Saccharomyces cerevisiae S288C: one gene and its partners. Changing the gene in region 4 together with the main gene of any one other region gives a genetic interaction. Each region holds a gene or a part of one and is shown on either strand. Other genes may lie near its edges. The genes, in order: MMT1, MMT2, COT1 and CCC1.

The links.
Region 1: of CCC1 (region 4) and MMT1, a mutation in one rescues a mutant of the other (synthetic rescue), as found in Saccharomyces cerevisiae (one study listed by BioGRID).
Region 2: of CCC1 (region 4) and MMT2, a mutation in one rescues a mutant of the other (synthetic rescue), as found in Saccharomyces cerevisiae (one study listed by BioGRID).
Region 3: of CCC1 (region 4) and COT1, extra expression of one rescues a mutant of the other (dosage rescue), as found in Saccharomyces cerevisiae (one study listed by BioGRID).

The regions. Positions count from the first base shown.
Region 1 is NC_001145.3:613,447-619,723, reverse strand, and holds MMT1 (Mmt1p), read right to left. Parts: upstream 3,159-6,277; coding exon 1,626-3,158; downstream 1-1,625. Other genes in the region: FPY1 (flavin adenine dinucleotide pyrophosphatase), read right to left, coding at 421-1,245; ECM5 (Ecm5p), read right to left, coding at 3,749-6,277. UniProt on the Saccharomyces cerevisiae protein: Mitochondrial metal transporter involved in mitochondrial iron accumulation.
Region 2 is NC_001148.4:124,572-131,040, forward strand, and holds MMT2 (Mmt2p), read right to left. Parts: upstream 3,518-6,469; coding exon 2,063-3,517; downstream 1-2,062. Other genes in the region: NEW1 (New1p), read left to right, coding at 1-786; ribosome-associated Tef1p biogenesis chaperone CHP1, read left to right, coding at 1,435-1,875; GRE1 (Gre1p), read right to left, coding at 4,061-4,567; FMP40 (Fmp40p), read left to right, coding at 5,591-6,469. UniProt on the Saccharomyces cerevisiae protein: Mitochondrial metal transporter involved in mitochondrial iron accumulation.
Region 3 is NC_001147.6:903,949-910,147, forward strand, and holds COT1 (metal cation transporter COT1), read right to left. Parts: upstream 3,608-6,199; coding exon 2,288-3,607; downstream 1-2,287. Other genes in the region: SFG1 (Sfg1p), read left to right, coding at 812-1,852; YOR316C-A (uncharacterized protein), read right to left, coding at 3,778-3,987; long-chain fatty acid-CoA ligase FAA1, read left to right, coding at 5,395-6,199. UniProt on the Saccharomyces cerevisiae protein: Vacuolar transporter that regulates zinc homeostasis by mediating zinc transport and storage into the vacuole. Plays a role in resistance to zinc shock resulting from sudden influx of zinc into cytoplasm.
Region 4 is NC_001144.5:573,837-579,866, reverse strand, and holds CCC1 (Ccc1p), read right to left. Parts: upstream 3,043-6,030; coding exon 2,074-3,042; downstream 1-2,073. Other genes in the region: U3 snoRNA-associated protein UTP13, read left to right, coding at 1-549; RSA3 (Rsa3p), read left to right, coding at 843-1,505; MSC3 (Msc3p), read right to left, coding at 3,530-5,716; COA4 (Coa4p), read left to right, coding at 5,949-6,030. UniProt on the Saccharomyces cerevisiae protein: Has a role in both calcium and manganese homeostasis. Involved in the transfer of iron and Mn(2+) from the cytosol to the vacuole for storage of these metals.

The DNA of each region.
Region 1 (6,277 bases), on a different chromosome or scaffold from region 4:
AGCAACAAACTCACCACGGCTCAGTGCAATTCCCAAGAACCGAACTCTCCATTCAATGGGTCTTTCTCTTCACACACACCTTTTTTCTAACGCGACGCGTTTTTTTTACCTTTTTTATATCACGAAAAAAAACGCGACCGTAAATGAAGGTTTTTCCTTTCATGGAGCAGTTGTATCTATTGAATGAATTATATACCTTTTGCTGGTTTGGTCCTTTCGGATATGCATTTTTCAAATGTTTACTTTAGCGATTGAAGCTCTAACAGTAGCAATGTGATCTTTAATTTTTCAAGGTACCTTTCTACCACGAGCAGTGTACTTTTTTGTTGAGAAGAAAGCGCAACTACCGGCGATGACTGAGATGACTTTGCTCCCAAAAAAAAAATCTATATCTATACATAGTTCTAAATACTCGGGTATTCAGCTCTCCTGGTTCGAGAACTTGTTTTCAAGTTCAGAAGAAATTACTTCTCCCTCGAGGTTATTAACAACTCTATTGACAATACTCTTCAGATATGAATCGTCTTTCTTTTCACCCAAAATACTAACTGTATTGAATCCCATACCAAAATGTGGGTATGAGCCTATTTTAATGGCTTCTGAAACTTTTGTTGATTCATCCTGAATCAACTTTAGCTCTTTAGAAATTTGAGACTCAGTTAGGTGTGTTCTGACAAAATAACGAACATACTCACGTGGATCCTTGTCCAAATTATATATTTTTTTCAACGTGGGAGTGAACGCTTTCAGCATCCTTGCAAATAGTTGAGGGATACCGGGTAGTATATACATTTTGTGAGATATAGAACAAATAGGTACCCACAAGTCATCACACACATAATAATTTTTGACGTTTGTGCCTTTTGGCATGGTTGCCATTTGGTAATGCGCCTTTAGAGCATCTGCATCAAGCCTTGCTTCAGGGTCAGATTTATGCCTCATTCGTTCTTTGCATTCTTCATCTAGTTCACAAGGCAAATTAAAGCTTTTCGCCATACATTCGTAAGTGATGTCGTCATGAGTGGGGCCGATTCCACCTGTACTGATGATAAAATCATAATTTTTGACTAATCTTCTCACAGTATCTACGATCTGGGTTTCATCATCCCCTATAGTTGCAATTTCTTTTAATTGAATTCCATGATCAAAGCAATACTTCGCAAAAAAAGTGGAATTTGTATCAACTACTTTTCCATTCAGCACTTCATCACCAATTATGATACAAGCTGCAGTTACTTTCACCATTATACCCTTGACAGTATATACTTTGCCTCCTTCAGTAATTCTTTTATGTCATTATTATCACCAGTAATGACTGCTATTGTTATATCCCTCGCTCTTTCCTTTTTAGTCTCTCGGGCAGCCATAGTCGTTTTCCACGTATATTTTTAATAGAGAAGATCCTAAAACATTCAGTTAGAGTATTATAGTTAATGATTTATTTTATAAATAGTAAATGCAATTTGTATATAAAACGTACATAAATCAAATAGTAGGTATACGTGACAAATATAAGCGTATTGTCTTTCCTTTTTTTTTTTGGCCTTTTTGTAATTGTGAAATGCGTTTCGGGTATTTTCGACATTTCCCTCTCTTCTTCACTTGTTATTATTACTGTGGGAAGCTCAAATATGAGTATTCGTATGGTCGTGCTTAATAAGAACATCTTCTTTGTAGTTTTGTTGTCCCTTGATATGCTCATTTTCCTCACCATTTTTTTCTTCCACGTATTCAATATCCAGTCTTCTCAAATTCGATACTTCATTGGTTAACACATTACGTAAATGATGTGTCACAATTTCAAACTCGTTAACACCTAAAATATTGCCCCATTTTTGTAAAGGAACTTCCAAGGTTAAATGTCCGCGTAAATTCGGTCCTGAGGACAGTAACGTCAGTTCTTTCAATCCATAGGGTTTCTGAGAATTATTATTAGAGATCAGTTTGTTCAACGTATCTTTAACCAAAGTTTCTATCTCTAGGTAGCGTGGATCATCACGAGAAACTGACTGATCGATTAACTCCTTTATTGCGATGCACATACCCTCGCCACCAGCCTTGATAATTAAACCAGAAACAATTAAACCACCAATCGTGTCTAATGATTGTATATTAACCAAATAACCAGTACTGATTGCAACCAGAGCAACAAGAGAAGTTAATGAATCAACACGGTGATGCCAAGCATTTGCCATTAGTACATTTGAATTAGTGTTGATAGCAATCTTTCTTGTGGCTCTAAATATCCATTCTTTAGCTGCAATGGAAGCGGCGGCAATCCAGGCTGCGTTGATATCAGTAACGTCTTCAATAATGTCTTCAGAATAAGTATGAGCATGACCTAAGTTTCCTATGGTGTCAATGATTGTATGTGGGATAACAGGCCCTACGAGTGCACAAAGGGAACTCCAACCTATTGATATACCAGCCATGGCTAATATTGTTGAAACTGCCAAGGAACCAACAGTTTCAATTTTGCCATACCCATATGGATAATCAGCGGTTGGCTTGTTGGCTGCTAGCCCTACCGAAAGCAAAGTCAACAAGTCAGAAACCATGTCACTTATTGCGTGGATAGCATCCGCAAACAACGCTTGTGAATGAAATACGATACCTCCAAAAAATTTACCTATAGCAATACCAACGTTTACACCTAAGCCGACCCATGTGATTCTTACGCCTGCATTTTTCCTAATTTGCTCAGTACTAAGTACTAATAATGGATTGTGAGCAGCATGAGAATGCGTATGTCCATGAGAATGTGTATGCGAATGCAGATTCAACGACGAAGGCTTATCAGCTTGCTCACATTTACTGCTTTTGTAGTCTCGTATCGTGCCCAATGAAATTATGTCGTTTTGCTCGGTCTCTGATTCACGTAAATGAACATGATCATGACTGTTGAATGCTTCAGCTAATTTTTGGTATTGAGGATTTTTCTCCAATTCCTTTATTGCAGCCTTTTCAATTTCAGCTTGTCTCTTTAACTCGTTTATCTCAACGCGTACTTTATTAGGGTCCTTTTGGTTTATTATACTGCTCTTTTCAACTTTTACTCCAGTACTTATGTGGAGATTCTCCTTCCTTACTAGTAATGCTGGACGTACTTGTGAAAGAACGATCTTTATACAGGGCCTTTTTACGCAGATTCTTAACATTGTCAAAAATGCGAAAAAGAAAGCGATGTTTGTGTGATGCAATAATATATAAATCAATAAATTTAAACTCTCAGTTATTTAGCGTAAATGAACAAAACCACAAAAAAGAGCTCTAAGTCGAAGTTGCCAAAAGTCTTAGGGTTCCTATAGATGGTCAATTACTTGAAGTTGTCATGGAAATGAGCTTTTTTTATTTTTTTCATACCTCTCGAGAAAAATTGCCTTGGCGCGTTCCTCCTACGAAGGAAAGCAGAAGAACAATTGTTACGTAAGGAAAGCTATCAAGAAACGGTAAACACTTACTAATAAACATCAATATTGACAGCAAAACGCGCTTTTCCACCTTCGAAAGGAGCTCTCCTAGATTCTGGGGTGTCTTTTTTTACCGGGATTATGCTGGATGGGAAACACCCAATACTGGAGTGTCAACAATAGGTAACTACTGCCAACCATAGAAAACGTCGTAGAACATCTGAGTATGAGTAAACGAGGTATGCGCAATAAAAGAAGAGAGAATATGTCATGCAGACTTCGCAGGTACATTTTAGATAAGTAAATAGTGATTTTAATCAATAAGATAGTATTACGTTTCAATTTGGAATTCCTGTGATTATGATTCTTCCATTATCTGTGAGCCATTTAATTGCTTCTGCATCTTTCACCTGACAATGTTTCCTTAAGGGATCCGTCAGATTAGTAAAGCCGCATTGTGACCCTTTTAACTTTCTCAAGTAATACTTGATCTTGTGCGTAGAGGACAATTGATTTACATAACCGTTAGTAAATAGTTCTTTTTCCATTTCATTTTTGAAGTTCAAAGCAAACGCAAAAACGTCAAAGAGATTCTTCAAGATAGGGGGATCTGGAATTAAACTTAGCTTCAAAGATTCTACTAAGATCCTCTTCAAGTCGTCAAGCTCAAAAGTCACACCTTCGATATTGTCAACGGCCATACAGGGTGGTGTACATATCGAGCAAACAAATAAAACGTTTGGATCATCAGGTGGAACCAACTCACCGTTGCTAATACAATCCACATGATACCACTCCTTGCATATTTCACATTCGACCATTGCAGTACCTTCTTCAACCCTTCTACAAAAGCAATATTTCGTTTGGCGCTTAGAACAACTTTCCAAAGGAATGTATTTGTCTGACTTCAAATCTAAACATCTAAAAATCGACGGCAGTATCTCAATAAATTTATTTTTTTGCATTATTTGATCCAAGTGCTGGTTCCATAATTTGAAAACTTTTAACTCCTGTTTGGCTTTCACTGATCCTGAATTATCACTGGCCAGCGGTCTCTTATCTAATCTCGAACCATTAAACTGGTTCGCAAACTTCACAAATTTAGGATCATTTTTCCTGATGAGTTCGTCTATTTTATCAATATTATCAGTGTTATAAAGAATATTCACATCGTTCATTTTTTTTGCATTTTCAATTTCTCTAATAACATAATCAAGCTCACTGAAAAAACTACTTTGTATGGGTAACCGATATTCTTCTATATCTAATAAAACGTCTTCTAAATCACTTAGCGATATTTTTGAGGGTGGATCCTTTTTTAGAAAAACTCGAACTTTCTGCATCATGTCCTGATATTTTAAAATCAGCTTTCTCACTTCCCCTAACTTATCTATATCTTCCGAATCACAATATTTCAAACCAAATTCGAAGTAAGAATATAACAGTGGAAGTGAATATTTCGCAGGGTCTTCATTCTTAATATCACATCGCTCAATGAATATATGTTCATAAACGGATAACCATTCAAGCCTACATATTTTTCTGGTCAACTTAGTCCAATAAGAAACCTTCAACGGGATGGTTAACGATTTCTGATATAATTCCTTAAGCAAATCTAGATTATTGCCATCAATAATATCTCTATTATCGATAGGAAACTGCCGAGATACGTGATACAGTCTGATAATTGTCGGCTTTTCTGAAAATTCAATTGAGCACTTCCGCACACTTTCATACAAGCTCTCCAAATTATCAGCCATGTTGTCAGAAAACTTAAGCGGTAGATGACGTAAATTGAAACCGTTTCCGAAATCTACATCTTTAACAGAACAGGAAACATCCACGAAGGTCTTAATAAACTTTTTACATTTCTCAATAAGTAGTAATGAATCATCAAAATTGGAGCGTAACATTCGATTAAACTCAGTATTACTATCAGTATGAGAGATCAAATACTGTATTATATTTAATGGCACAGTTCTATTTCTAAAAGTAGAAGTCATTAACACGTCCCACTTTTTTTCAAAATCTTCATTGTGAACAAGCAGATAAGAAGTCGGAGGCTTGTCCAAGCCATCGAGAGCAATTCCTAGGCTTGCGCTATCAAAGTATGAGTGCAAACAAACATTGAGATTACCAGATTGATCACGTATTGGGATGCCACATATACTATGAGCACCGTTTTCTGGTTTTTCTAGCAATACCACGAATTCCTTCAGAGATAAATTACGTTGCAATGCACCGTGTGTAACAACGATTTTTGAAAGACCAGTTGACTCTAAACTAATATCTGAAATATAATTCAATTTATTATAAACGACATCTACAGTGCCAATCAACTCCCCTAATTTTTTGCTGTTTTCCGCTTCCTCAACGACGTAGTTACTTATTAAATCACGGCATTTTTTCCTTAAAACTGGGTTATTGGAGTTTAGTAGGGCATTGATAAGTAATTGATTTACATCTAAACCGGGAAGAAACCCCATCTTAGATGTCCATTTTGCTGCCTCGGAACTGAATCTCAACCAGGAGCTTGGCGCAAATTTTGCATTCTGTGATAGATAGAAACCTGATCCAATAGAACATGTGAAGGCTTTCGGAAACTTAAAAATGTATGAGCCCTGCTCCTGTGTCGTCTTATAAAGTTTTATGCCATTGGCTAAGATGAAATTAGGCTCAAATATGAAGTCGCTTTGTGAACCATCATGTAGAGTGTTTCCTGCTATCTTATCTTCTGGAAATGAATTTTTTGAATTATCTCCAGTGTTTGAATAGTCAGCAGATTGTTCTGCATCCAAAAATGACTTGTAGAAATCTGTTTCTATAAAGCTCTTTAATTCGTCATCGGAGGTGGAGTAGCGCGGCCT
Region 2 (6,469 bases), on a different chromosome or scaffold from region 4:
GATGACGGTAGAGGTAAGAGAGCCATTGAAGCTATTGTAGGTAGACAAAAGTTGAAAAAATCTTTCCAATATGAGGTCAAATGGAAATACTGGAAACCAAAATACAACTCCTGGGTTCCAAAAGATGTTTTGGTCGAGCATGGCTTTGAAAAATTGGTTCAAAAATTCGACGATCACGAAGCCTCCAGAGAAGGGTTGGGTTACCGTGAATTAATTCCTTCAGTTATCACCAAACATTTTGAAGACGTTGGTCTTGATTCTGAAATTGCTAACCATACTCCATTAGGTTCTTTATCTGGTGGTCAATTAGTTAAAGTCGTTATTGCCGGTGCTATGTGGAACAACCCTCATTTACTTGTTTTGGATGAACCTACCAACTATTTGGACAGAGACTCTCTTGGTGCTTTGGCCGTTGCTATTCGTGACTGGAGTGGTGGTGTCGTTATGATTTCGCATAATAACGAATTTGTTGGTGCTTTATGTCCTGAACAATGGATTGTGGAGAACGGTAAAATGGTTCAAAAGGGCTCTGCACAAGTTGACCAATCCAAATTCGAAGATGGTGGTAATGCTGATGCCGTTGGTCTAAAGGCCTCCAACTTGGCCAAGCCATCTGTAGATGACGATGATTCTCCAGCTAACATCAAGGTCAAGCAAAGAAAGAAGAGATTGACAAGAAATGAAAAGAAGCTGCAAGCCGAACGTCGTCGTCTACGTTACATTGAGTGGTTGTCATCGCCAAAAGGTACACCAAAACCAGTTGATACTGACGATGAAGAAGATTGAAAGCCTACTGGCTAGTGTTTTATCTTCGCTAACTTCGTTTGTTTCACTCCATCTTTTTTCTTTAATTCACTCCTCAAATGGAGTTTACTACGTTGATAGAATTTAGGACAAGCATATGACGCTCTCCTTCCTTTTTTGTTTTCTAGGTTAATTCATTTTTCATACAGAGTAGTTAATATTGGTTCTTTTCATATATGTACGGTACGCAGATTAATTATGTAAACTTAAACTTAAGGGATCCTTTTTGATGCTAACAATTGTCGATGTTGAACTACAAATTTATGTAAGAGGTCGTTGTTAAGGATTATTATTTTAAAAATACACGAAGATTGATTATTATTTCTTACATGAGGTTATGAATCGTGCTCCAAAAGTATACCAAAAATAACTCCTGAACTGCTAGGCACAGTTTGCGATAATTTAAAGGGGTTAAATACACTTTTACTACTGGCTTTCACCTTATAAATCCCTCATTAAACTAAAGATGAATGAACATTGTTGAAGAAATTGTCCGGGTAAGAGGTTGTACTAGGGAGTGATGAACATCCATAAATTCTTCGACTAGCAGAAGTAATGATAATTTTCACCCGTTAAAGCTACATCTGGTTAGATGGACTAGAAGAACCACGACGAAACAATCATATAACAATGTCTACTTTTAATGCAGAAACCGCTGATAACTTGGAAGATATCGAGAAACAATTCGCTGTTGTTGCTGTTGAACAAGCGGAAACATATTGGAAACTATTAACAAGTGTTCCCGGTTCCAAGTTACGTTTGACTAAGTTTGATGACGAAATATACGAGAATTTTATGGAGAGATTCCCAGAATACAAAGATGTTGAAAGGGTCAAAAAGTTTACGGAGGAAGAATTAAAAACAAAAGAAGCCAAGGAAAGATGGAGAAAGTTCTTCACAATTTTTGAGAAAAAAATCGAAGACTATAACTTTGGTACTTTGTTGAGGACAGACGCTTCAGCCGAGTATGGTCAATTTACTACTTGTTTTGTCGTGAGACTACAATTTTACGCTTTTGAAATTGCTAGAAATAAACACGGCTTGAACGATTGGATTGTCGGTCAGAAATGAACATGCATATATATTTGTGATTGATTATATAGAATACATTACTTTATACAAAGGAACAACACAAGGCATTCTTCCTTGTTCAACATATATATATATACATATATATATTAAGCTCAGTAAATTGTTGAAATGTGAAAGGCTGTACTTTTGCTCTTAACTTTTGAAAAAATTCATCATTGAGAATTCCCTAATGTTTATGGGTGTGAGTATCGGCAGAATCAGAATGAGTATGAGTATGATTTGTTGATTTAGTGTCATGAGAGTGCTCCAAATCACCTTTAGAGTCAGAGGTTACATCAACAAACTCGACGTCCACCTTCCCCACGTTTGGCACCTTCATACGTAAATCCTCTCTTATAGTCGAAATAGCGTTTTCCAAAAATCTTATCCCAACTTCCTGACCTGAATGTAATACTGGCACTTCCAAAGTTGTGGTGGCACGAAGATTAGGACCGGAAGCTAATATAGTAAGGTCTCTAACATGTAACGACTGTTTGAGATCTAAGTCTGTTTTCAAACTGCCAATGCTGTCTTTTATGACAGATTCGATTTCTAGATAACGCGGATCAGTAGGTGGTATAGATTGGTCAACTAACTCCTTCAGTGAGGATAAGATACCTTGTCCACCTGTTTTTATGATCAAACCTGACACTACAAGCCCACCTAAATTATCTAAGGATTGAATGTTGAAAAAATAACTAGATGTGATAGCGACCAACGCTACCAACGATGTCAAGGAGTCAACACGATGATGCCAGGCGTTTGCCATTAGTACATTAGAATTTGTTTGGATTGCAACTTTCTTTGTTGCCTGAAAAACCCATTCTTTAACCAAGATAGAACCCGCTGCTATCCATACAGCATTTACATTAGTTGCCTGTTGTGTTAGCGACTGAGAATGGGAATGCGTTTCACCAATTAAACCGGCCATCGATTCTAGAATGGCATGAGGAATGACAGGCCCCACAATAGCGCATAACGACGACCAACCGATAGATATACCAGCCATTGCTAAGATTGTGGATACTGCCAAAGATCCCACAGTTTCCACTTTACCATAGCCATATGGGTACTCCGAAGTTGGTTTACGAGACGCATATTGGACAGAAAACAGTGTTAAAAAATCAGATACCAAATCGCTAAGAGCATGTACGGAATCAGCAAGTAATGCTTGAGAATGAAAAGTGATTCCTCCTACAAATTTTCCTACTGCCATCCCCACATTTGATGCAAGTCCTATCCATGTTATTCTTACGCCAGGATTCTTCTTGATCTGCTGTACGTTCAGTGACAATAAAGGATTGTCATGCATATGTGTGTGGCTGTGACTATGAGTATGTTGCAACAACGACTTCACAGAGGAAGCCTTGCCTTCCTTCTTTCCTTCACTTTCATTCTGTCTGGAATTCGATCCATTCTGTGAAGACATTTTTGAAATGAGCTGTTCATTATAGCCCTCTTCTTGACCTTCTTTATTTAGCAGTTTCGAAGAATGCAGGCACCTTCTCGGGTTGGCTGAGATCATTGTACTGTACAGGCTTGATGTTCTTATGGCCCTCCCGGCAGCATGGTAACTAGTGTTGTTATAACCTGGCACAAAGGAACCGAATTGCTTGATAGAGTCAATACTTATCCGTAGCATATCTTTATTGCGTTTGCTTTTTTGAGAAAGTAATTGCTTACACGTTCTAGAATAAAAAAGTATGGTTGTAAGAACGCACTTGAAAAGGCACCAATCTGCTCGGGTTTTTACAACTAACACTAACCTAGATGAGAGGTAAAAAGAAATCGTAAAAAAAAGTTGTTGCCCAGCACAATAACGACACTTTACCCGCTAATTCCAGGAGGTTTGAGTTAGACAACGACCTTCCCACCCCGTTTTCCCATAATTCTATTGTTATACACCTGGATCTGGAGGTCCGTGAAACGGCATACCTCGACGAAAAAGGTCACTACTAATCAAATCAAACTGACATTAATAAAAACGTATAAACTGACAGCTGTAGATCTAAATAAACTAGATTAAACATATGAAATAGTTTGTAAAAAGTGGCATCATGACCAATAATAGGTCCAGATGAAGAAAAAAGAAAAAAGAAGACGAAATTAGGGTAAAATTTCTCACTTGCTGCTCAAGGGTGAGACCCGCACCTCAGGCATGTAATAGAAGCTTCGACCACCGCATCTACCAGACGCCTTGGTTCCCACTATCATCATCATATTCATCGTTTCCTGACCCAGACAGATCGCGTCTACCGCTGCCGATATTAGAGGATTGGTAGCGGTTACTTTGAGCACCTCTTGTACGACCTTGTTTTTGCTGTTGGCCCGAAGTCAAGAAGTCATCGTCTTCATCGTCGTCCAACTGACCTTGAGTGTTAGTTTCGCGGTAAGTTTGGGTATAAGTGCCACCACCAGTGCCGGCAGTGTAGTCAGTAGTTTGTTGCTGGAAGTCGTTACCGCCAAACTGCGTGTTACCGCCTAGATTAGACTGTGGCTGCTGGCGTTGAGGGAAATTCCCTTGGTTTTCTTCGCCGTAGGGATCGGCCTTGGATCCTTGATTCCTGAATTCCCTCTGTTGATGTTTTTCATGACGCTGTTGTCTAGTCTGGTCGTCATTGTCGTCTTCGTAACGTTCATCATGATCGTTGCCGTGCAACTTATCAGCAAACTTGTTTAATAGATTGGACATTTCTTAATTGTTATTCGTACTTAGCTTTTATGCGGTAGTGTTTGGCTCTGCTGCTAGTAGATATTAAGAGTTGAGGGTAGGTATGTATCCTTTTTTTGATGAAATAGTAATGTGCTTTTATAGTCCAAGAAATATTGACTGCTTCAAGGGAGCCTGATTAACAAGCACGTAACGGAGACCAAAAAAAGGATTTCGGTCTTTTCTAACCATTTCCCTTTACTCCCTTGTGCGTTATTTGTTTTGATTACTAGGCATGATGTATGGAGGAACTTGCGATCAAATGTCATAAAAGTGGAGGAGTGAAAAGAAATGACGAAGCCCAAAACGTGGTCCTAGAATTACCACATTTCCTTTTTCTAAAGGAAGCCAGACTATGCTTTACGCAAGAACTGTGGTTAAAGAGGGATATTCTGATGAACATAAATTCATACACATTCATGAGAAGCACGACAAGGATTGGTTAATTACTTACAACTAAGGCAAAACTGCCATTGACCTCATCTGTACCACCACATGCTGTGTAGTTATTTTCCCTTTGTGATCCCTAAAAAAGATGGGATCTACACACCTTACAAGAACATCCTCAAACCCATACCTGGAACCACTGAACATATTCTTCCCGTGAAAGGCTCTACGGCGAAACTACTGTAATGTCACAGGAAATTAAGGATGCTTCGACTATGGAACGGACCATACATGGGGACCCGATGTATAGAAAGCCTCAATGAGGCAAAGAGTCTAGCTCCTTTAAGATACGTAATTCTCCTTCTGTTTTCCCTTAATTATTCGGGTGAAATACCACATGGTCGCACGGCTGACGGGGAACTCCGGAATTGGACGATGAAGAACTTAACGGTGATATGAGGTGATCGTGGAACAAAACGTTGTGCCAAAGAAGCCACAAATACGTCACTGTAATTATTCTGCCTGCATAAAAAGAGCCATCAAGGATAAGCTAGAGACTATACTCCGGAAGTAGAAGAAGGAAGGTGTGAGAAAGAAGATAGAGCGTGTAACACAATCATGGGGGAAAAAAGGACAATAATCAAAGCGCTGAAAAACTCTGCAGCGTCCCACTTCATCAAGAAGTTGACCGCAGATACTTCCCTGTCGTCCATACAAGAGGCAATAAACGTCGTGCAGCAGTACAATGCAACGGATCCCGTGAGATTAAAGCTTTTCCATACGCCTCGGATGGTTTCGCAGGGGGCTCATTTTGCATTTTGTTTGCCCACTAAGAAACCACATTACAAGCCATTACTGCTTTCGCAAAACGCACTTGATGAGTTTAATTTGGTGCAGGATCAGGACTTGGAGAAAATACTATCCGGTGAGAAAGTATATTATTCCGATAGTATCTTTCCCTATAGTACAGTGTACTCCGGATTTCAATTCGGCTCATTTGCTGCACAGCTGGGAGACGGACGTGTGGTAAACTTGTTTGATCTTAAGGACAAGTGTAGCGGACAATGGCAAACGTTTCAGTTGAAAGGTGCCGGTATGACGCCATTTTCTCGGTTTGCAGATGGGAAAGCTGTGTTAAGATCAAGCATACGTGAATTCATAATGAGCGAGGCGTTGCACAGTATTGGAATTCCATCCACAAGAGCTATGCAATTAACTCTGTTACCGGGGACGAAGGCGCAAAGGCGCAATCAAGAACCGTGCGCTGTTGTATGCCGTTTTGCGCCCAGCTGGATCCGCTTGGGTAACTTCAACCTATTCAGATGGCGGCACGACTTGAAAGGGTTGATCCAACTATCAGATTATTGCATTGAGGAATTGTTTGCTGGGGGGACCCAATTTGAGGGGAAACCCGACTTTAATATATTCAAAAGGGATTTTTTTCCTGACACTGAGACGAAGATTGATGAGCAGGTGGAAAAGGATGAAACTGAGGTG
Region 3 (6,199 bases), on a different chromosome or scaffold from region 4:
GACACATAAAACTCTCAGCTAGCCCACCCTTTGGGCAAGTTATACCTTTCTACTTTCGTCCAATCCATACATCGCCCAATTAGGATAAAAGTAAATAACATATTCGAGTTTTGTAAATATCCGAAAGGGGAAGACAAGGAAATATCTAGGCACCAAATCCCTTTTTGGAAATGCGAACCACGGGAATATGCAAAAAAAAAAAGAAAACAATCCCGCTTTTTCAAGATTTCAGGCCGATTTTGAGATTAAAGTTTGACAGCCTCAGTCTTAAAAACAAAACAGTATGACAGAACGATTCAAAGAAACTACGGACAAAGGATTTATGCTAAACTGGTCACGCCGTTATAGACAGCAGTAATGCATGGAAAATCCCATGGCTATTCTAATCGGGTTTAAACTTTTTTTTTTCAGCTGCGAATATCTCTTAGTGCAAATTGGTAAACAAGAGAGCTCACAACACACTAAATACGTTGTGTAACGATACATAGCCTTGCTTAGGTAAACGACAGATGCATGCCCATTTCGATAGGAAAATCTTGAATTTTAAGCCCGTTACCGTAAATGTCATTCGATACTGTTTACAGTTTAGTTTTAAAGCGGTAACATTCTTGTTAATTTAAAATGGATCAATTTTGTCACTCTACGAGGAAAATCAAGCGAAGTATTATTTAAACGCAACATTTCTTTGTGCCTTCCACACTTCAGCTATATTTGGAACTTAGGCGCGTTTAGGTGATAAGTTGTTCTGTAAATATGTTTGATTAGTTAAACAAGAGAAATATAAAATTAAGAAAAAAAAAATTTCAAAAACATGGATGAAATGCATTCTTCAGACACACTTTTGTTGCGAACACCGAAATCAAAAAAAAAAATTGGGCTTGTAATACCCAGTACACCAAGTAAAAAATGTAAATATTCATCAGGCTTTATAGCAGAAGACACTACGCCCTCCAAACGGTTTCGTTTATACCAAGCCAAATTTAAGACAAGTTCAAAGAATGTCAAAGCCCAAACTCTTAGCGTATCAATAAAAAAAAATCAAGGTGAAATCACCAATCCATTTATGACCGAAGGATATAATGATTACCGGAATATTGTCAGTCCTGGATTGAGTTTTGATAACGACTGCTTTTCAGAACATGAATTAGTTAGTCCATTGAGTGATATATCTTCGATAAACTCGACATCGCCTGATGTTGAAAAGATTGATTCTTTAGATCCTTTTGGCGTTGATTCTTTTGTCTGGAACTGTAAGCCGCTTGTTAATAAAGAAGCACTGGAGCTCCACCGAATGATTCATTCTTCGTTTCCGATGAGCCCACTGGAATCCAACAGTGATGTGCCACTTTTATTGCCTAAACTCAAAAAAAGGTTATCTCCAGTAAACAGATCGACCTTCAAGCCAACAAGGTACGAACCCTCTCACCGTCTATTGAAGCCCAAAAAATCAATTCTAACAGTACCAGCCAAATCTCTGAATCTCATAGTCAGTTCGTCGCGAGGCTCATTAAATGACGCTACCATCTTTGCCACCGAAATAAATTCTACTTTGAGCAATGAAGAAAACAAATTACCAGCAATTTCTAGTATTTGGGAGAAGCTCACAATTCCAGTAAACTCTTCAATTAAGGAGAAATACAAGAAGCTTAAAGACCAAATATATGGGCAAGCTAGTAATTTTGGCGAAGATGAAGATAATGAAGAAGACAATGAAGACGACCTTCCCGACGCGGCAGTAATAAGAGGTTACGAATTTCAGTCAGGAAGGCGCGATGAGCTGACGCAATGTAATGAACTACAGAGTACGAAGGACTACAAAAAAGTTCAGTGGGCAAAGGTTTTAGAACAATAACTAGGTTCTTTTTCTTCTAATTTGTTGAATTCTAAACAAAGGAGTTTTTTTTTATTATTTCTTAACAACTGGTCTTTTTAATTAAATGAAAAAAGATAACAGCATTATTGTGCTAAGTATTGTACTCTTTTTTAGAAGCTGGAGTAATCTAAAAAAAGCTAAACACCATTATTACTATTTTCCTTCCTCAAGTTGTTGTTTTGCAAGACTATTGCTATTATATTATTATTATGATCATCATTATTATCACCTGTTTTCGCTTTTCCTCTTTTTTTATATTATCTCCTATACTTCTTACTGTAACAAAATTTATGATAAACATTGTATAAAAACATTATAGACGACTATATATATGTGTGTGTGTGTATGTATATGTACCGTATAACGATTTTTAAAAGTATTTAATTCTTCACGCTTTTTCGTTATAAAGTCCTTTTAATGATCCTCTAAGCAATCAGCTGTGTTGCAGTTGGCAGCGTCGTCGATAAGACAAGTGGAACCTGAAATGCCAGTACCATATGTCTTTGGCCTTAATGAAAGCGGGTCATTTTGTAGATGATCACCTTGGGAGTCTCCGGCTCTTTCGGTTGAAGTAACCTCTCTGGTAATAAATTCAGGTTGCAAAGTAGCGGAGTGAATGCCATAGCGGTGAAGTTTTGATCTAACTATTTTGGCCAGGTCAGTAAATTGTTCCGGGCTGATATCTAGTTGAATATGCAAAGATGCAATAAAAATAGACTCTGTTAAATTCCAAATATGGAAATCATGAATAGCTATTATTCCTGGTATTTTCAAAAGATCACCTTCTACTTGATCGCCGGATAAAGTGGAAGGTGTCGCTTGTAACAATATTTTGGAAGCCTTGCACGATAGAGGAAGCGCAGAGGAAAAAATTATACCGGTAATTATCAATGAGACAAGCGGATCTGTATAATACTTCCAAGAATAGTCGGTCTTCCAAATGAAAAATGCAGACAACATAACGCCGATGTTGCCAAGAGCATCGCCCAAAACGTGAAGAAACACACCATGCATATTTAAAGATCTCTTGCGCTTGTTGTGTTCTGTGTAATTTCCGCCGCTGGCAATCGTATGGCTTGACGTTGAGTATGATGGCGTCTTGGATGCATTTTCCGGTGTCAATAATCTAGTATTTTCGTTCATAAAACTATCTACTATAGCATTAGGCATAATCTCACTAATGTTATCCGTACTATCCATTGGTGTAGTATTCTCTATTCCATCAACATGGGCATGTGTATGTGTGTGGGATGATGGCATATGCATCTCATGGTCGGCAAAGATACCGCCATGGGAATGTCCGTGTCCATGTCCATGCTCTTGATCATTGTCGTGAAATAAGAAAAGTCCAACGGTGTTCGATATCAACCCTGCGACACCCACATACAACACAAACTTAGGATTTTCAATCACGGGGGGAGCAATAATTCTTTGTAGCGCTTCTATCAAAATTGAGACACATAAGGCAATCAAAAAGACGGCGTTAATCAGAGCACCCAAAATCTCCGCCCTTTTCCAACCATAAGTGTACGTTGAATCCGGATTTCTGTTTTTGGCAACATTTACGGCCCAAAGTGCAACCACAAGAGAAATTATATCGTTTAGCATATGGAATGAGTCCGCGATTAGAGCCAAAGAGTGAGACAAGTACCCGGTAGTTATCTCGATCCCGAAGAACACTGTGTCTAGCAGCAACAAGGATATAATTTTTACCTGTTTGCTTCCGAGTTTCATATTTACTCAATCTTTCCGTACTTTGTGTTAACTTTCTTTCTATAGCTATGCAGAACTATTCTGAGCAAAGTGAAAATAATTGGTTACTAAATAGAACCAGAAATGCTTTTCGAGCTCCCACGTAGAATATATAAGACCAATAAATTCCTTTATTGTACGGATATTCTGCATTACAAATGAGTCTTCTGCTTTATGCGGATCGTCAGCTTATATTGCCTTCGTACAGAAAATGAAAATTCACTACTGGAAACGGGTGAGCGGATGTATGAGTGTATAGTATACACCCGGTTTTTTTTACCCTTTCTAAGACCGGAGCTGGCGACAGTAAGTGATAAGCGGCCGTTGGCGGCCGTGGGTGAGTTATGCATGGGAACCAGCATGAGCCAGCGATGTTCACTATAAAGAGATTAAATGTAGAAAGTGCTGAGAGACCGATCGATTGGTAAACTTTTCAAAAGGTGGCCTTCTCCACACTTTCTTTTTCCCTCGTTCACTCTGCCTTGATCACATGCTTTTTTCTATGGTTAACTTTGAAAAATTCGTTCCATATCGCCCGCCACAAGTTAAAACCAGATATGCGTGGGATATAGTAGGGTGGACTGTTAAGTTAGCTATAATGGGCTTGTACTCTTTTTGAATACAAAAACCACCTTTCTACACCTTAATACAAGCGGTGGTTGGAAAGCATTCTTGATATATATAATTATATGAGTTTTGAAAAAAAGTACTGGGCATCATTTAAATAAGCGGGCTAAACTTTGTTTATGTTTAGGTTAACGATAGACATATTTATTTTTTTTTCTAGGAATAAAAATGAAGAACGGGAAGAAAAGGAAAAATGAAAATGAAGAATATGAAGAGTAAACCTACTTAAAAAAAAAAACCATACTTTAGTATTTAATGTAGCTACCACGCGTATTCGATACACTATTATTTTTCTTGACTTAGTATGTCAATTGTAGGTAGCCTCATGATGCCCTCTTGATCTAAGCGCGGTGAAAGTCCGCAGGCAATTGCTATAATACTGACAAAATTTATAAGGGGAGAGGGTCTTTTTTCGGTCCGCACGGAGCGGGCGAAGAAAACGTAGCGGTGAGAAAAGAATACGTCACCAAAGTATCAGAAACGTCACTGCGTTGTAGATGTAAGACCGATCCACTTTGCCAGCTGCTTACGCTGCGGAAAGTAAACAGACCTAGCTAGCGGACCGATAGAGCCGGCTGAACTTTATAACAAATGCGCCTTCTAACAAGCGATGAAGCCATGCTTAGCGCGGCAAAGAGAATTACTTAGAATATGGATGATGCAGCCCTGTCATATTCTTCCATAAGGGAATGACAAGGACAATAGTAAAGTCGATCACGCCCTGTCAGGAACATGATCTCCGCCATGTGAATATTTATGCATGATACAGGCACGAATACATCATATAATACGAATGACACAGGGGCACCCACCCATCGCATATCAGGAGAACTTCCCTGTGCATACGGGACAGCAGAGATAGGCTGTTCTCGCGCGTTTTTTTTTTTTTTTTGCTTTTTTTGGTTCCTTTCGCGGATATCGTATTATCGATATTACAACAAAAATGTTTGGAGATCTCCTTCGCTGTCTTTAAGTAAAAGGCTTTAACCGCTTATTTTTCTCTCTTTTTTTCCTTTTACCCCTCACTTGTCGTGAGACAATTGTAGTATATTTAGTAAGTATAGAAAGTTCTTGTTGTTAAAAAACTCGTTAGGATACAATAAAAACTAGAACAAACACAAAAGACAAAAAAAGACAACAATATGGTTGCTCAATATACCGTTCCAGTTGGGAAAGCCGCCAATGAGCATGAAACTGCTCCAAGAAGAAATTATCAATGCCGCGAGAAGCCGCTCGTCAGACCGCCTAACACAAAGTGTTCCACTGTTTATGAGTTTGTTCTAGAGTGCTTTCAGAAGAACAAAAATTCAAATGCTATGGGTTGGAGGGATGTTAAGGAAATTCATGAAGAATCCAAATCGGTTATGAAAAAAGTTGATGGCAAGGAGACTTCAGTGGAAAAGAAATGGATGTATTATGAACTATCGCATTATCATTATAATTCATTTGACCAATTGACCGATATCATGCATGAAATTGGTCGTGGGTTGGTGAAAATAGGATTAAAGCCTAATGATGATGACAAATTACATCTTTACGCAGCCACTTCTCACAAGTGGATGAAGATGTTCTTAGGAGCGCAGTCTCAAGGTATTCCTGTCGTCACTGCCTACGATACTTTGGGAGAGAAAGGGCTAATTCATTCTTTGGTGCAAACGGGGTCTAAGGCCATTTTTACCGATAACTCTTTATTACCATCCTTGATCAAACCAGTGCAAGCCGCTCAAGACGTAAAATACATAATTCATTTCGATTCCATCAGTTCTGAGGACAGGAGGCAAAGTGGTAAGATCTATCAATCTGCTCATGATGCCATCAACAGAATTAAAGAAGTTAGACCTGATATCAAGACCTTTAGCTTTGACGACATCTTGAAGCTAGGTAAAGAATCCTGTAACGAAATCGATGTTCATCCACCTGGCAAGGATGATCTTTGTTGCATCATGT
Region 4 (6,030 bases):
GATGCAGATGGTGTTTTTCAGTTTTGGAAAGATTGTACGGAACAAGAAATAGAAGAAGAACAAGAAAAAGCTAAATTACAAGTCGAACAAGAACAATCGCTTCAAAATTATATGAGCAAAGGTGATTGGACAAATGCATTTTTGTTAGCAATGACTTTAGATCACCCAATGAGGTTGTTTAATGTTTTGAAAAGAGCTTTGGGCGAATCAAGGTCTAGACAAGATACCGAAGAGGGCAAAATTGAAGTCATTTTCAATGAAGAATTGGACCAAGCCATCTCTATCCTAAATGATGAACAGTTAATTTTGTTAATGAAACGATGCAGAGATTGGAATACAAATGCAAAAACACATACCATAGCGCAAAGAACAATAAGATGTATTTTGATGCATCATAACATAGCAAAATTGAGTGAGATACCCGGAATGGTAAAGATAGTTGATGCAATAATTCCATACACGCAAAGGCATTTCACAAGGGTTGATAACTTAGTTGAACAAAGTTACATATTAGACTACGCGCTAGTGGAAATGGATAAGCTATTCTAGGCAGTAAGTCCAAGATATTGAGCCTTTAAAAGCAAGGCAATAGCAACATATTATTTTGTAAACTAGATATATAAAGACAAAATGCATTGATGAAGCGGAAAGCTTAAAATAATTCGATATATAATTAGGTGCCTTTACGGGCATTGAAAACTTCTTTGCGCGAAGAGCTCATCACTAAAAATTTGCAAAAAACGAAGAGCGAAAACTTTCATATATTGTAGTAATATATACAAGAATTTAAACTGCCCACTTGAAATAGCACGGAAAGAACTAGCCATAATATATTATACAGGATGTCGGCAGGTGATATATCAGCCATAAATATCAAGTCTGTCAAAAAAAACAGAAGGAGGAAGAAGAGAAGAACAGCTGATGTTTCATCATCAGATTCTTCATCATCGGATCCATCATCAGAAAGTGAAAAGGAGGAAATCCAAAATGGGGCCATCGAAGAACACGTTGGAGAAAATGGTAAAAGTGATCATGTTTTCTCAAAAGGTAATGACGAAGACAAACAAGAGGACATTGCAATAGAAGTTTCGGATGTCGAGCTTACAGACGAAGAAAGCAAGGATTTGAAGTTAAATTCAAAAGAAGTGATAGACGATTTAACCAAAATTTCTTTGAGCAAGATCCCAGAGCCTACGAAATCTCAAAACAAGGAGGGTTTTATGAATGCATCGAAAATTGCCGAAAATATCAAGCTTGCGAGAGAAGAATACAATGAATTGGCAGAAAACTTTGTGCCCAAAGGGAAAGACAAGACAAAGTTAAGGGAAGAATACTTAAATTTACTTTTTGAAAACTACGGTGATGATATCAATCGTCTTAGAGCTGCCCCGGATTTCACGAATAAATCACTATCCATTTTGGCAGATGCTCTGCAGGAAGGCATAGGAATGTTTGATATTGGTGAACTAGAATTGGTCTTGAAAAATAAAGAAATGGAGAACTGAAAAATATTGCTTTAAATCTTTTTCTAAAAGTTTGTCATGTTTCCGCGGAGAATATATTGACGTGCACATTAATTATTTAGATAATTCTTCGATTTTTAATGAAGAGCGGTCCTGATCCAAGTTGTGCTTCATATGGTATAAAGCTGATTCCAGTATACTGCACGAGAAGTATATGTATGTATTTTGTAATTTATATAAAGGCAAAAAAAAGAAAAACACTTGGGCATAATGGAGGAGAAGATCTTATGACCTGATAGTCAAAGAGAAAAAGAAAAAAGCAGAAGGAGCAAAGAAAGGCGGCGACCAAATGACGAATTAGATCCAATGAAAAACGATTCAATGCGAATAAAGGTTATCATGGATCACCTGATGGGCCTCTTGGCAATAGAAAAAGAAACTAGTTTGAAATTCATTAATATAAATAAATTTAAAGAGGAGAATATAGAAACAAATTAAAACGTAAAAGAAATGTATGTCGAGAAAATCCAGCCCAGTTCCAAGTATATAGCAAAGCTTCTCAATCCCAAATTTCTTTACAATAAATATGTATAGTGTTGTTACTTTACACTTAACCCAGTAACTTAACAAAGAACCAAGCCGCACCTGCTGCTACACCACCCACAACAACCATTTCAACACCTTCCGTAACTTTCTTTGAAGTCGAACTGCCACTACCCATGGATAGTTTTGTCTTTACGTAACCAAACCAGAATAATGTTACAACCATGACTATTATAGAATAAATGAGACCTGTGCCCACATCTGAGACAAAAAAATATGGCACTAGTGGTACTAGCCCACCAAGTAGATAACCGCCACCGATAGTGACTGCACTGATTAGTTCTCTATTCTCGGCAGGTTCGTCTAGACCCCTACCGTACCTGATAATGAAGTCAACCATTAGCTCAGGTGTTCTTTGTAAATCTTTGATGAACGAAACGATTGTTTCGTCCGAGAAATTAGGGTTAATCTCTAACAGAATGTCTTCAATTTCTCTGTTAATTAGGTTGGAGTTATCGTAAAATTTCCTTTTCTCCTTCTTTACTTCAGCATGATAATAATCAGATTCACTCTTCGCTCCCAAATAGCCACCAAGGCCCATAGAAATCGCACCTGAGATCAACTCAGCAAAGCCACCGGTAATGACCAATTTCGCATCACCAAGTGAAGATAGACCAGCTGTTAGAGCAAAGGGGACGGTTAAACCGTCGCTTAGCCCGATAATCAAATCGCTAATTACGCGAGGATCTACTGATTGGAAGAACCCTAGGTTCGCCTTTTCGTTATCCGAACCGTTATCGCCATTCCTATTATCTTTCCCTACTGACATCGGTGAGTTTTCTAGATCCTGCGCTGAATTTCTACCATAGATAATATCCGAGCTAGATGAGGATAAGTTATCATGCCTTGAACTATTGCTATTACTACCCCTCAACAAGGGAGTTGATTCAGACCCCCCCAACTCTGAGGTTCCACCACTACCTTTCGCTTTCTGTATAAGGGTCACCACTGCGTTCTTTAGTGCTACAATGGACATAATATTTGTGTGCACGAGATATGGGAGGACAAAAAAAAAGTTTCTTTGTTCAATATACCAATAAAAAAAAAGAGTCTAAAGGCTTCGTTCTGTTATATTTCTATTCTATAAACCTAAAAAAAGCAAAAATTGAGAGTGATGTCGCTTTAACTTGATTATTTGAACTATTTTGTTTTGTATCAATTTTTCATATATAATCTTAATTTTACATCTTCATTGTGAGACATTCGGGCTAACAAAGAAAACAAAAAATGCGGGTCACGAAAGGGGTACCGAGCCAATGAGAAGAGGGTATGTTAGTAATATTAGTGAGAAATGCGGCGCGATTGGTCCAGACCGAAAAAAATCAATATTATTAAACTGTAAAAGTTATATTAAAAATTAAGTTACATTAGTAATTGAAGTTCACAAGAAGAAAAAGAAGAGAATAAATCTAAAACCAGGCTTCAAAAATTAGGGTTGATTGCAAAATTCGAGTAAACAACTGCTAACGGCTGCTTTTTTTCTTGAACAGTTTAGTGAAGAAACTGGACTTCTTGTGCTTCGTGGGAGGATCTTGTGTTTGAGCCTGTATTGTCTTAGTGGCATGTGTCGAAGTGACCATTGTTGGCTCAGCGGCAGATAATTCATTCGTCGATGATGTTGTTGGATCCGTGGCGTCTTCCTGACGCTGAGGGGTTTGGTCCTGTAAAAGCGAAGAAGAAGACTTTAGATTATCCTGCAGTTCCGGTGATCTTGTTCTCGTTGTTGAAGCTACTGCGGAGGTAGGTACATTGCCCTGACTTTGCCCATTCGAGGACGCAGTAGTCGAGTCTATTTGTTGTTGAAGGGGTGAAGGTGAATCTGTAACTACTGGATTCGTCATCACACCTTCGTTTGAAGATGGCTTTGCGGTTGTCACACCTTCCGAAATAGACGCTGCTGGGAAGCTTTCTTCAGCATTACGAGTAACTGGAGTTTGTTCGCCTTGTTCCTTCTTGTGCTGGTAGCCGTAGTTTTCTTGAGAGAATTGCAGCACTTTATCGAACATGGTTTTGAACTTATTTTTGGAAGAACCAGTTGTTTTTGTCTTCTGCAATGGAATGGGCTCGTATTCATGCACTTCGCTTTGGACTGGAATTTCAGAATCCCCTAAATAGTGCTGCTCATTGGGCGGGATGCTCCCAGTGGATCCCAGATGGCTAACGCCGACCTGACGAGGTTTAGCCGCCGTAGTGCTATTATCGACTGCTTCAGGTTGAATACCATGTGAGTTGTAATACCTCGCTTGTGCGATTTTCAAAGCTTGGTCATACATTTCTTTATCTGTTAGCCCTGTGTTTGCACTTTTAGGCTCTGGAACTGGGTCAACAGCCTTATTCGATTTAAAATGTGTAGACACAGAGTGATTGTGCACTTCATGGGGGGCGCTTTTAGTATTTCTGCTGAAGAAGGAACTTGTAAATCTTTTTGGTTGAACCTCGACATTAGATTTGACAAGATTAGCAGTCGCCGTCGGAGAATCACTACTGCTTCTCAAGGTCATTTTTTGACCCATCCTACTTTTCCTGGATTTGTTACTCCCGAGGGGGGCCGATGCGTTATCCGAAGCAGCATCCGTGTGATAAACGTTTCTTTTAGCAACCTCTAGTGCCTTCAGATACATTTCTGCTTCGGTTAATGGTTTCTTGGCCTCTGCTTCTGCGTTTTTCACGGCAGGCGGTCTTTTCTTCCTTCTTGTCGTCGATGCTTGCTTCCTTTTATTATGAATATATTTACTACTGGTCTGATGGGTGGGAGGAATATAATCTAATGCGTCACTGAAGTTTGATAAACTACTTTCTTCTTCTAGAGGCATAACGTCTGTAGAATACTTATGGTGGAAATATGATCCAAGTGGGAAATCTGGTTTTTCCACGTTTAGCTCTGAATCATCTTGTAAATGACTTTCGCTTACTGGGGAATATGGCTTTTCGTTATCTGTTTCGTTTTCCTCGATTATATCGTGAATGTTATCACTAGCTTGTTCCTCTAAAATGTCGTCATCTTGCAACATGTAATTTTCACTAAATTCATCGAAATGACGCTGCGAGTCACCTAATGGAACCAAATTCTTAGTCGTAGTCGTGGTTTCTACGTATTCATACCCATTTATTTTTCTTATTGTCTTTTTGGTAATTGATTGAGTCCTTCCTGAAGGGTCTGTTACTTGTGTAGTCTTTACGGTAATGGAGTTGGCCCTTGAATCGTTATTGTTGCCGGCCGTCGATTTGTTCTTACCGTAGTTTCTTCTGACATTCGCACCAGACGTCATAGAATTCATACGGCTCCCATTAGTAGTATAACCGGGCGGGTGTAAATGGTACTCTCCGCTCCTTTGCGACCTCAACGAGTAAGTCTTCTGTGAATACTGCTTAGCTGCTGCCCTGGACGTTGGCGGAGCGGCAGAGGATGTGGAAAGCCTTCTTCCTGGGCTCTTTACCGAACTTCTTTGTCTCGGTATTGAAGGTGCATGACTAACCAGCGAGTGCGACCTTGAGTAATTGGTTCGATCCGGTGATGCGGCAGAAGCAGCAGAGGCAGCAGCAGCAGAGAGCTGAGGACTTTTGTTATAATCTTCATGGTTCTGATAGTAGTAATCATACCTAGATAAATCAGGTACCCTCCTGTCCCTCTTTGTAAAACCAAATACCATTTTCAACTTTCTTGATCAACAGAATGTCTTTGTTTGTTTATTCTAGTGAAAAAATAGAAGTAAAAAGCAATCAATATAAGCAACGTGAAACGATCGAAGGAAACTAAAAGAGGTTTGATGTTAGAAGAATTGATTAACACCAAATCAAGCAATTTATTGAAGTATGGGTCCCTGATGTTTGTCCTTCTCGTTCTTGCTTTCCCTCCCCTCTTCTCATCCATTCGCTTCATTTATGCTTTTATTTTCTTCTTTTTTTTCTCACAACAAATGTCCGAAACAAAAAAAGGGGCCTCAGCCATTAAAGGTAGTGAAAG